Linked DNA regions of Tribolium castaneum. The protein of the gene in region 1 purifies or fractionates together with the protein of each later gene. This does not show direct contact. Links are inferred from orthologs where the notes say so. Each region holds a gene or a part of one and is shown in the gene's direction. Other genes may lie near its edges.

The links.
Region 2: the proteins of Taf4 (region 1) and Tbp purify together in Drosophila melanogaster (affinity purification with western blotting; 7 studies listed by BioGRID). This does not show direct contact. The link is inferred for Tribolium castaneum from reciprocal best matches to the Drosophila melanogaster genes Taf4 and Tbp.
Region 3: the proteins of Taf4 (region 1) and Taf5 purify together in Drosophila melanogaster (affinity purification with western blotting; 3 studies listed by BioGRID). This does not show direct contact. The link is inferred for Tribolium castaneum from reciprocal best matches to the Drosophila melanogaster genes Taf4 and Taf5.

The regions. Positions count from the first base shown.
Region 1 is NC_087394.1:35,639,785-35,643,938, reverse strand, and holds the start of Taf4 (transcription initiation factor TFIID subunit 4), read left to right. Parts: upstream 1-1,297; 5' UTR 1,298-1,948; coding exon 1,949-2,548; intron 2,549-4,154. Other genes in the region: wcd (U3 small nucleolar RNA-associated protein 18 homolog), read left to right, coding at 1-514. UniProt on the Drosophila melanogaster protein: TFIID is a multimeric protein complex that plays a central role in mediating promoter responses to various activators and repressors.
Region 2 is NC_087402.1:9,986,924-9,990,912, forward strand, and holds Tbp (uncharacterized protein Tbp), read left to right. Parts: upstream 1-1,210; 5' UTR 1,211-1,302; coding exon 1,303-1,348; intron 1,349-1,392; coding exon 1,393-1,619; intron 1,620-1,668; coding exon 1,669-1,811; intron 1,812-1,857; coding exon 1,858-2,377; 3' UTR 2,378-2,871; intron 2,872-2,918; 3' UTR 2,919-3,424; downstream 3,425-3,989. Other genes in the region: Tbcc (tubulin-specific chaperone C), read left to right, coding at 1-114; Bka (rRNA-processing protein FCF1 homolog), read right to left, coding at 140-748, 798-800. UniProt on the Drosophila melanogaster protein: General transcription factor that functions at the core of the DNA-binding multiprotein factor TFIID.
Region 3 is NC_087398.1:2,407,368-2,411,491, forward strand, and holds Taf5 (cannonball), read left to right. Parts: upstream 1-1,238; 5' UTR 1,239-1,302; coding exon 1,303-1,359; intron 1,360-1,402; coding exon 1,403-1,988; intron 1,989-2,034; coding exon 2,035-2,362; intron 2,363-2,413; coding exon 2,414-2,570; intron 2,571-3,023; coding exon 3,024-3,344; intron 3,345-3,398; coding exon 3,399-3,908; 3' UTR 3,909-3,961; downstream 3,962-4,124. Other genes in the region: heterochromatin protein 1, read right to left, coding at 1-441, 515-772. UniProt on the Drosophila melanogaster protein: TFIID is a multimeric protein complex that plays a central role in mediating promoter responses to various activators and repressors. May play a role in helping to anchor Taf4 within the TFIID complex.

The DNA.
Region 1 (4,154 bases):
TACGGCTCTGGCCTACGGCCCCCAAGGTAATCTTCTCTATGGGCACAGTGACTGTGGCGAAGTCACTGTGTGGGACGTGAGCATGAGACGGGTCTTGCACAAGTTTATGGACGAGGGCTGTCTGCAAGGCACCACTTTGGCGGTTTCGCCCACTAATCAATTTCTGGCGGCTGGTTCTGCACAAGGAGTTGTTAATTTGTACGACGTGGGGGATATTTTAATTAATAAAGTACCTAAACCTATAAAGACCATTATGAATTTGACTACGAGCGTGACCGACTTGAAATTCAACGCTACATCGGAGATTTTGGCATTGTCGTCTGCCGAAATACCGAATTCCGTCAAATTGCTCCATGTCGGGTCTGGGACTGTTTTTAGCAACTTCCCGACGTTCGAGACCAAGTTGGGACACGTAAATGCGATCAATTTCTCGCCAAATAGTGGATATGTTGCCTTTGGGAATAGGAAATCGACCGTTTCTTTGTATACCTTGAAGCACTACAAAAGTTATTAATCAAACAACACATGTTAGATACGGTAAATGACCTGTTCCACCTGTTGTAACATTTATGCAAGCTTTATAAATTATAACAGGGCTATTGCTAAAATAATGTGTCAGTTTTAATACCGAAGAGTGGCATCTCTCCTCAAGTGGTTAATTTTGATCAATTTTTACGTTCTGTATGCTTTTTTATTTTTTACTACCGATGTCATGTTTTAGTACCTGTAAATAAAATCGTTTAAGTCCTAAGAATTTTATTGTTTTATTTGTAATATGTGAATTTTTTTTTCTTCCAACAGTTGCCGAATGAACCGCTTTGTACTCAATTGTACCTACGTTTAATTTATTGATTGCAGGCCATTATAGTTTACACCGGAATCGATTAAATAACCCCTTGCCTACACATTATCAACCACACAAGCCTCCTGAAATCAAATTGATAGGGGTACTATTACCTGCTGTTATCTAGAAGTGCTAGATTTTTATTAAAAATTTGCGTTACAGTTCTAAATACCACCTATAATTAAAAAGATTTGATGCAAAAGGAGGATAAGGGAGATGATAAAAAAAAAGTACCAAACAAAATGGAAATTATAGTAGGAGTAGAACGTGTTTATAAATCGAATACCTATTTTTTATCAATAAATCTGTTCTTAATATTAAATAGGCCATACCTATCGTATAAGAAAATATACTTATATTATTAATATAAGTTTTTTATTGGTAATTTTGTTCAAAATTTGAAAAAAACAGCGGGAATCTGACCAGAGTGTTTTGTTTTGTGATGATAAAACAGCAGTATGGTGTTGCAAGGTTGTTGTAGGTCATGAGATTTAGCAATAAACAATCTCTTAAGAAATATTGCTCAAGCAACAAAAAACAGCAAATGAGCTATGAAGTAAAGAAAGTTGCGTTGTGCCTCGTGCCAGAATTCGAGGTAAAATGAGAATTTAAGATGAGAAATGAGTGTTGTCCCCATGACGTAATACGTAAGCTGCGAGCTGCGTGGAAGGAATCGGGGCTATCAGCGGTCGTCGCAAAATGTCATCTTGTTAAATGTAAATTGGCGCAGAAACTTTCTAAAGAAATGTAAATTTGTGGATTTGGAAATGTGAAATGCAATGCGAAAATTCAAATTTGGCGGGTCGGGATGACGTGTCAGATGACTTAGCAAAACGTCGAGAGTGCGATCGACTCCGCGATGTAAACGAAACTGAAAAGCTGTGTCTGATGTCGCCGTGAAATCCGCCCCCGACGAAACCGTGCAACAACTCGGAGCAGCCGAAGATGAGGGCCATGTAAAGTGGTTAAAAGTGCGTCGATTCGGACTTTTGTTTCATATGCCTTTCTGCATTTGTGGCGTGAAGAGTCGACGGCGCAGCCGTTGGCGTGATCATGTTTATGTAGGGCGCATGCGCACATCAGTTTACAGTTGGGTCTCGGAAAATGGCGTCAGCTAAGTTTCTCGAGGAAGCACTGAGTACGGATGTGGACGAATCGGCCGTGAGTGCAATCGTGGGCTCGTTGGAGAACCAGCTGGTGACGTCGTCGACGACGGCGCCCGCGTCCGCGGCCCAGAACCACGTGAACAGTGCAATATCCAACGGCGGCACCGTCGGGCCCCCCAAGCACTCGACAGTGGCCAACGGCGACTCCATCTCGGACGCCAAGTCGGCCGACGCCGCCCCCGTCAAGATCGTCTACTCGCAGGCCATGGCGGGCGCCGGGACGCTGCTGCCCAACGCGAGGGTCGCGCTGCCGCCCAATGGGACGCTGCCCCAGGCCGCCCCCGGCAAGCAGCCCACGCTGGTCATCAAGACGTGCGGCGCCTCGGCCCCCGGACTCGTCACCGTGCCCATGAACGTGACCACCTCGGTCCCGCCAGCTAACAACGTAGGTAGTCCCAGTACACAGTCCCCAAACATCCTTTCCAACCTCCAGGTTGTCAATGTACGGCCTGGCGTTCCCGCTCAGCAGCAGAAAGGACAACCGGCACGTGTCGTGCTCAGTGCACCACAGATTGTCGGGGCCCGGCCAGGAGCTCCAGTAAGTCGGTGTACACTCAAAACAACAGTCGAATGGGAGGGTCTGCTAACTCCCAGTCTTAAGATGCTTGCTAACACCTATAACCCCTTATCGACATCTACTGAGCGTACATTAAAAAAAAAACAAAAAATTAAACAAATTTTCATTCTAGGACAAATTATGTTTTCAAGCCAGTACTTGGTGTACTGTTTATTATCATGTGACCATCAAAACAAACAACGTCCAACAAGTTTACAAACTATCTACCATAATAATTTCGTTGTGTTGTAGGTAGACAACTTAAGACACACTCAAAACAGTACAGTATTGGATTCTTGAAAATAAAGCCCAGTTTCCCCCAGGAAACCAACGTAAGGGCCCCGAATTAATGACACTGTTTTTTAAAATTTTACTTAGCAATGAATACAATTTAAGGAATTGTTAAAAAAATGACTTTAGATTTAAAAAAAAAATTAAATACGTTCCTGCAAAATTGTAACTTGCTCTTACTTAACTCAAGACTCTTTTAAGCGATGTAGATTTGACAGCTACAGCAAAGTAAGAAATTCTTTCGTACTTTCACCCTGTGTAGTCATAAAGACATGCTGTTTCAATAGGTAATAAAAAGTATTTAATGTTGGCTAAACTTTTACACATTTCTTCTCAGTTATAGTGACATTACCATTAATGGCGAATTTAGCGTCTTTCATACAGTAAACATAGATTTTTTTGTACAAAATTATTCAAAAATTATGCACTCCCAATTGAAATTTTGAACAAAACTAATGTAAAAATGAGACAAAATGATGACCTTGTTAAAACTGAAATTATTTGTTGCAATTTAGATTTTAACAGAGGATTCATTCCAGTGACCCTCATGTACCAATATTTTGTTTGATAACAATTAGAAGACTTTTTTTCTTAGAAACACTATTTTGTACACGCAAGTGAATTTTTAACTCCAGAATTGTAAACGGATAGTAATTATCAAACATCCTAAAATAAAATATAAGATGCAATAATAAGAGTTGGAGTAATTATTGAAAAGTGGAACGATTATAAAATTAGAAAATTTCATAATAATTATCTCTCCACAGGGACATAAACAGCATCACACATATAGGGAAAGGTGTTGATATCCCTACTTTGTGATTAAATACACGTTATGTTATGTAATTTTCATGCTCGTGTAATTTTTTTTTATTTAATTCTTATTTTTTTTAAAATGTTATAAAAAACGATGGCAGCGTGTTTAATGCAAATTGCTATCTATGCGAAAGAAAGTGACGTTGAATTAATGAGTGAATGGTTACTGATTTGTTTATTAAAAATGTTTTATTTCATTCATAAGGAACGAATTATTTTGAAAATAATTCGTTCCTTATTTGGAAATAAAAGTCGCAGAATCAGGATGTCATGTCAGTATTGGGATTAATTTTCATCCAAGCTAGGACTAACGCTTTCGGACCCCACAAACCCCCCCATTCTACTGCAAAATTTCATGTTTGAGGCTATTTCCATTGTACAGCTTCACAAAACAACAACCAACCACCTTACACAGATTGTTCACTCGAAACACGTACACGAAGCTGTACAACGAAAATGCCGAATCTCTTCTAGTTTTGTT
Region 2 (3,989 bases), on another chromosome or scaffold:
ACAAATAATTGGAAATGTGTTGATGATTTCAACTGGTTGAATGTTGAAAGACAATCTCCAAATTGGTCGTTGTTAGATGAAGGGAAACTTGTAAAAAATTGGGATAATTCATAACGTAGTAATAAAAATTCGTAGTTTATTATGTTTTTGGAGCCCCGTAAGCATCAGGCATGCGTTCAATTGTATACCTATGTTGTGCAACATACATGATGGGAACACCCGGAATTTTCCGAATTCTGCGTTTCAAATCCTTATCATTCGTCGCAACAATGTAACACTTGTGTTGGGTGACCCTCTGGACTAGGCAATCATCAGCGTACGTCCCTTTATGCATGCACTTAATCCTCTCAAACCTCGGATCCTTTATTATCCTCAACGCCACTTTATACTTCTGACCTAATTTCTCTAATTCGCCCAAAACACAATCCGTAATATACGGAATACACTTAGCATACAAGCAGTCCATCATATTCTGAATAATATCCAACTTGTTCTTGATCGAAAAATTAATAAAGTTCGTATCAACCAAAATGTGATATGGAGGCCCCAGTTGGGTGTTGTATTGGAAAAAGAGCGCCGAACTAACTTGGGGCACCTCACGCACTTTCATTTCGTGTGGATCTTCGGGTTTTTTCTTGCGAGGAGGGGCCCTCTGGCTGGCTTTTATGCGAGGGTCGCTGGGACTGATCATTGTTTTCATTTTTGCAAACCGCTTCTGGGCGATTTTTCGCGTCTTCTTCGCCTTACCCTAAAAAACATTTCTATACGCTGTGCAAACACCAAAGCGAACTTTTTACCATCTTTTATTTTAAAATAAACACATGTAGAAAAAGTCAGGTTAAATATGCGTTGCCAACATTACAACACTAAATAAACAATCAGGGAGAGGTGAATAAATTAAATCCAAAATAATTGTTTGTGTGAAAAAACTGTTCCACTGACTCGAAATTTTTAAAAGGCGACATTGTGAGCGTGAGCCGTGAGTGTTATTTTTAAATTTATGATGCGAATTTGAGTGAGGTTAAGGCGGGCGTTGCCAACATTCTGGTTGATTTGTCCCCAAAAATTATGCTAGGAGAATAATTTATTAATTTGCTTCCAAATCCGTTTTTCCAGTGAAAAACAGTATTTTCGTGACGAAAACTCTGAAAGAGAACAATCAAGGAATGTTATTTTGTGTTTGTATGGTCTGAGTTCAAGTTTTTAAAAATTATAACCGTTTATGCTAAATGTTGACTATGATTTTATTGTTCAGTTAATTAGTTCGTTAATTAAAAAAGTGTAAAGACAACAAGTACCAAAATGGATCAAATGTTGCCAAGCCCCGGTTTCAGCATTCCTAGCATAGGTAAGTCTCGATTTTTCCTTCACACTTCCTTAGTGAGGCTTTAGGAACCCCCTTGCACCAGCCCGAGGAAGATCAGATGATTTTGCCCAATGCTCTGCAGCAACAACAGCAGCAGCAACCTTCCACAACATCACAGTCCCAACAAGTCCCGCCTTTGGCCCCAATGGGAGCCCTAACACCAACTCTGGGGTTGGGCATGGGCATGTCCATGCCCCATACGAAATATGCGGGCTTCGCCCTCCCCATCACGAGTATCCAGTCACAAACACCAGTACGTAACTAAATTATTGAATAATTGGAACGTTTAATTAAAATTTTAGCAACACACTATGATGTCCCCTATGGTGAATTTGGGGGGCTCAAGTGGTGCAGCGAACACCCCGTCGATGGGCCCCGCGACGCCGTCGCCCCTGACACCGATGACCCCGCATTCGGCCGACCCCAACATTGTCCCCCAATTACAGTAACAGTCCAAACTTTAGTAAAATTAGTTTGAATATTTTTTGCAGAAATATTGTCTCCACAGTTAACCTCAGCTGCAAGTTAGACTTGAAAAAAATCGCCCTTCACGCACGTAACGCTGAGTACAACCCCAAACGTTTCGCTGCAGTTATAATGAGAATCAGGGAGCCCCGAACTACTGCTCTTATTTTCTCTTCGGGAAAAATGGTCTGCACGGGGGCTAAAAGCGAGGACGACTCCAGACTAGCAGCGAGGAAATATGCGAGAATTATCCAAAAGCTGGGCTTCCCCGCGAAATTTTTAGACTTCAAGATTCAAAATATGGTGGGAAGTTGCGACGTTAAATTTCCGATCAGATTGGAAGGACTTGTCCTCACGCACAGTTCCTTCAGTTCGTATGAACCCGAGTTATTCCCCGGTTTAATTTACAGAATGGTTAAGCCCAGAATTGTACTACTTATTTTTGTCTCGGGTAAAGTTGTCTTGACTGGCGCCAAAATCAGGCAGGAGATTTACGAAGCCTTTGATAATATTTATCCAATCCTGAAAAGCTTCAAAAAGCAATAATTGCTTCATGTGCTACGTTTAATTGTTGACTGTAAGTGGGCCTTTTATATTGTTAATAGACGAGAATCAAAAATTGCTTTTATTTTTCCTTTTGACAAGTCCAATCTAACCTCAAAATTAGTTTTTTTACATTATTAATACATTATGCTGCACTAGAATACAATCAATCGAAAGGGAATGGAAAATTCCGCTCAGTACTTAAGTTCAAAACTGATAAGTAAATAATTAATTAAAGTTGATTATGGTTTACGAAAATTCAAATTTTTGCCACATAACCTCAAATTTTTTGCCAAAAAGAAAAAACTCGCTCGTTTTTGTCTTAAATGAAGAACAATAAACTCTAAAAAAGTGGAAGAATATCAGAAGACGGTACAAATTCCACGCCTTGTAAATACTGGAACTGATAAAAAGCGATGTCAAATTCCAACATGTTCAAGTAATTATTTTAATCTCTACAGTTCGGCGTAAAATAACAACAATGCCCATTTTACCAGGTGAGGCCACACGCCAATAATTGCGTTACTAATCGTAATTTTATCAGATAAAGTGCGAAATTTGGTGAAGAATGTTAGAAGTATGTTCCTAAAATGGTCAGTGCAAAGACCGATTTTGTCCATGTCTTTGGTGGTGATTTTGGCCGTTATCCTGCTCCCCGTGGTCACAGCAGCCACCCTAATGCCCGTTGCGCTATTGCTCACTTACACGGGAATTTTGGCGTCACAGGGAATTTTTTACATAACTTACAACATATTTATCCAAGGAATGCTACTAGCTATGGTAATTGTAGCCTTATTCGTTGTTGGTTTTACAATTGCAACAAGCGCGAGTGTTTTCCATTCATATACAATATTTAAAACGGTTACCATAAAGAAAAAGCAATAAATTTAAGTTTTTATTCGTTTTTATGTGCCATTTTTTCCATTAATGCCCATAATTTTCGTACTACTTGTTCCTCGCCTATTTCACCATAATTGAAGACTTCATAGTTTGGAGGGTTCGTCCGTACCATATCTGTTAGTTTATAAGGAATAAAGTTGTTAAAATGAACGGCTTGGTTTTTTTTTTAGAAAGGATACAGCCTGTGTTAGGTCTTGTATAATCAAATTGTGTTGCAGTTAATAACTTATACAAATATAAGGAGAGCCTGAAATAAATTCATTAGAGACCAACGTAAGAGTCATTTAAATTTCATACTTTAGGCTCTTAAGATTTTGCAGCTTATGATTATAAGTTTCGCACCGTTTTGTTGTTTCCCGGAGTTTATTTTTCTTTGCACCAAATTCGGTAGTTAAATTTGAAAGTTCCTCTTCCAGTTTATTCTATTTTTTTTACAAAGTTATCGTACAAGTAAAATTATTTTTTATACTTACGATTTCAGACTTTTCTTTTTCCAAAAGTTGAGCATTGTTATCCACGATTTCAAAGGCCCTTTCTACTTTACAATCAATCAAAGATTTAACGTTTGCACATATATTAAACAAATACCCTTCTAAAAAGACATAACAGAGTACAAAAATAGATTTAAAAAGATTGCACGTACCTTCTTCCACATGAGGTGTTAACTCATCGAGTGGGTGCAAAGATTCGGTAAAGCGATCGAGTTGTTCACTGC
Region 3 (4,124 bases), on another chromosome or scaffold:
GGTCTCGTCGGTTCCCTTCCACTTCATCAGAAACATCAGCTGTCCTGTGGTGTCTGATGCTCCTATGATTTTCTCGGCTTGGTAGCCCCGTTCAAAGCCGACTTTTGATTTACTCTTGGATGAACTATCCTTCCCCTTTTCAGATTTCGACTCAGACTTTCGCTTTTTCTTGGATTTTTCGTCGTCATCGCCTTCTGATTTCTTCTTTTTCTTGGACTTATCCTCGTCGTCAGATGAGTCAGACTTGTTTTTACCATTTTCGTCGTCGGAATCTGCGTCTTTTTTTGAATTCTCTTTCTCGTCCGTGGAATCTGAACGACGGCGAGCTTTCTTCGACTTGGGCTCGCCGTCGGAGTCCTCCGTTTCAACCGCATGCTTCTTGGGCCTGCCTTTTGATTTCTTTTCAGACTTCTCTTCACCGTCCTTGGATTTTTTCTCTTTCTAGGGATACACAATTAAATAGATTTCGGGTCGAAGTGGGCTGGTTTTTGCTTGGCTTATCCAATAAACCCACCTTTTTTTTGTCACTATCCTCGTCCGCACTTTTCGTGGTGGAAGACCTCTTCGCCTTGGCTTTGCGCGACTTTTCAAATTCCGCTATGAGATCGGGACAATCGAGATTGTCTTCGGGTTCCCAAGTATTATCGTCTTCGCTATAACCTTTCCACTTGAGAAAATATTCGACCTTTCCGTTTACGACCCGCCGGTCGATAATTTTCTCAACTGAATATTCCTCCTCGCTCTCGCTGTCTTCTACCTTCTTTTTGCCCATTTCTGCAGTTTTGTTTGCGAATAACCGGTAAAGCGATGCTGACTGCGTACTTCTGGAACAATAAGTATTGCTTGCATTCAACTTCGTTACTAAAATGCTGACTAGTTAAGGTAGTGGATAATAATGCGATTGGAGCCGTTATTTACTTACTTTCAACTCTGGCTCTTAAAAAGCCACCACAAAACACCGCCGAAAAGATCCTTTTAATGGCGCTGGAAATATGGCGGGTGGCGGTTAAGAAAAAAATGGTGCCAACACAATTCAACCAATTAAAAATTGTCCAAAAACGACTCTCAGAGTTTTAAAAAATATAGCCAGGAGTTACAACTCTCATACTGCGCTCTCTGAATGAAGAGAAAATCGGATTGTTGCGAAATAAGCCTAGATTTTTTATAAATCGACGTTGAATGGCAGGCTTTAGGGAAATTTTGCGTTATTGATTGTTGTCATTTGCATTAAAGTGTGGTTAGGGAAACGTCAGTTTGTGTTGTATTTATTATTTTACGAGTTTATAAATGAGCGCCGAAGAAATGGAAAAATCTCAACTTGCAGCCGTTCTGCAAATTTTGAAAAAATACAATTTAAAGGTGAGCTTATGGCGAGTAAGCACAACGTAACATTTTTCATTAGGGCACTGAGGAGCTGCTACGAAAGGAGGCCAATCTCGGTAATAACATAGCTGATGGCCCTTTGCAACAAAATTCAGACGTTAGTAGCGTTCTGACGGGGTACAAGAGTGACGGAGATCCAGAAACCTATGAGGACTCTTACATGGAGTTAAAGCGTTTTGTTGAGGGCTCCCTTGACATTTACAAACACGAATTAGGCATGATTTTATACCCAGTTTTGGTCCACATGTACCTCGAATTGGTTTATAATGGACATACGGAGAAAGCGATAAACTTAATGAAAAAATTTGGCCCCGAACAAGACTCGTACTATCAGGAGGATCTCAGGAAGTTGGCTTTGGTCACAAAACGGGACCATATGAACGGGAACGAATTGACAGACACCTTCAAATCAAACCAGTTTATTATTCGAATGTCGCGTGACACTTTGTCACTTTTAAAACGTCACTTAAACGACAAAAAAGCGTCAGTTTTGCTGAACATCATCCAGGAACATCTCTACTTTGATATGTACGAAGGCGTAGCGAGGAACAAAAGCCAGATTGATGCCACGTCAGGTGCCGTTGGGGGAGAGGCAAAACGACAAGGTTCATTTTCGTTATCATAATTACAATAAACACATCAAAATTCCAGATAATAAAACCAAAGTCTATTACGGCATCCCCAAAGCCCCCGACATTCAGGCACTAGCAGCGCCAGTCGAAGACGAGGACGAAGGCGGCGAACAGGACAATCCGGACAAACCTAAGAAGAAAAAAGCCAAAAAAGACCCACTTTTCTCGAAAAAAACAAAAAATGACCCAAACGCTCCACCGCCTGATAGAATTCCAGTCCCGGACATGAGAGACCACGATAAGTACGAAAAAGTGAAGGCGTACAGAGAGGCCTCAAAGAGAGTTACGTTAGGCCCGGATTACCTCCCTTCAGTTTGTTGTTACACCTTACTTAACGCCAATCACACGTTAGTTGAGTTTATTCAGTGAAAATATTTTCTTTATCGGGGGTTTTTTAGGGTTAATTGTGCTGAAATCACCGAAGATTCGAGTATGCTGGCGGTGGGTTTCAGCGATTCAATTGTTAAAGTCTGGACACTTGTGCCTCAAAAACTGAAGGCTATGAAAAGTGGGGAGCAGCTGGAGGATGTCAATGTTGACGTAGAGGATGTCGTGGTAATGTTACATTTTTTTTTAATAATGAAATCGATAAAGTACATGAAAAAATATATAATCAATCAAAATTAAACGATAAGTAAAACTAAATCAGTAATTTCGATTACAATTTTTTGTTCAGAAAAGACTTTTATTATTACTACAAAAGTAATCACTCATTTTTTTAATACAACATTAAATATATTCAAAGTTAAGTTGAGATTTTAGTTTTCGCCCCCATCAAGTCGATAAAGTAGACACCGACTTAAATTAATCGACTACTTGAATAAATAGCGATAAAAATAGGTCGTTGCCGTGTGGAAACCGTCAACATGTTTAAAATCGCAAAATAAATGACTGGAAGGTGTATCATTTTTATTCATTTAAACAGTGTACTTAAAGAAATCTGCCAAGATAGCAACTTATCTGTCATCTTGGCCAGGTTCCAAAAACTTACATGTTTTCAACATGCAGGTGAGAATGATGGATGAAAGGTCCGGTGAGACTTCCAGATCGCTTTACGGCCATTCAGGGCCTGTTTACTCGGTATCATTTTCCCCAGACAAGACTCTCCTTATCAGTTGTTCGGAAGACACAACAATAAGATTATGGTCGTTGCAAATATGGACTTGTCTGGTGGTCTACAAAGGACACATGTTCCCCGTTTGGGACGTCAAATTCTCTCCCTTGGGCTATTACTTCGCTTCGGCGTCGTACGACCGCACTGCGCGACTTTGGGCCACCGACCATTACCAACCGTTGCGATTATTTGCCGGTCATTTCTCCGACGTCGATGTAAAAATTATCAATTTTTTTTTAATATTTTTTTACAGAAATTATTAATTGTAGTGCGTCCAGTTTCACCCAAATTCCAATTACGTTGCGACCGGTTCCAGCGACCGCCGCGTCTGTTTGTGGGATTGTACGACGGGAAATCATGTCCGACTTATGACTGGGCATAAATCGCCCATAATGTCTTTGGCGTTCAGTGTTTGTGGGCGGTTTTTGGCTTCCGCGGGGGTGGATTGTAAAGTGTTGGTTTGGGACTTGTCCCATGGACACTTGGTTGCAGAACTCACCGGGCATGAGAAGCCCATCCATGCACTTGCTTTCAGCAGATGCGGGAATATTCTAGTTTCAGGAGGGTTGGACTGTTTGCTCAAAGTTTGGGATTTTACCAAACTGACTGAGGAAATCAGCTCGGAGGAAGTAAATGTGTCGCATAATCCCGATGTGAGGATCGGGGATGATTATTTATTGAGGAGTTTTGCGACGAAGAGCTCGCCATTGATCAGCCTTCACTTTACGAGGAGGAATTTGCTATTGGCTGTTAGCATGTTTGATGGTGTTAGCACTTAGTTTATTGTAATGTGTATTATTTACCTTGATAAGAAATAAATTTTTTAACGATTTTTTTGGGGTTTGGTTTATGAATCGCTTGAAATAACACTAAAATGTTAAAATAGAATTCCGAGTTGAAAATAAACAGTGTCAACAACATTAAAAATGTTTGCCAGGACTTTTGCCAAAAACATTCATAATTTCTCTATGACGAATCAAACATTTTTATAATTA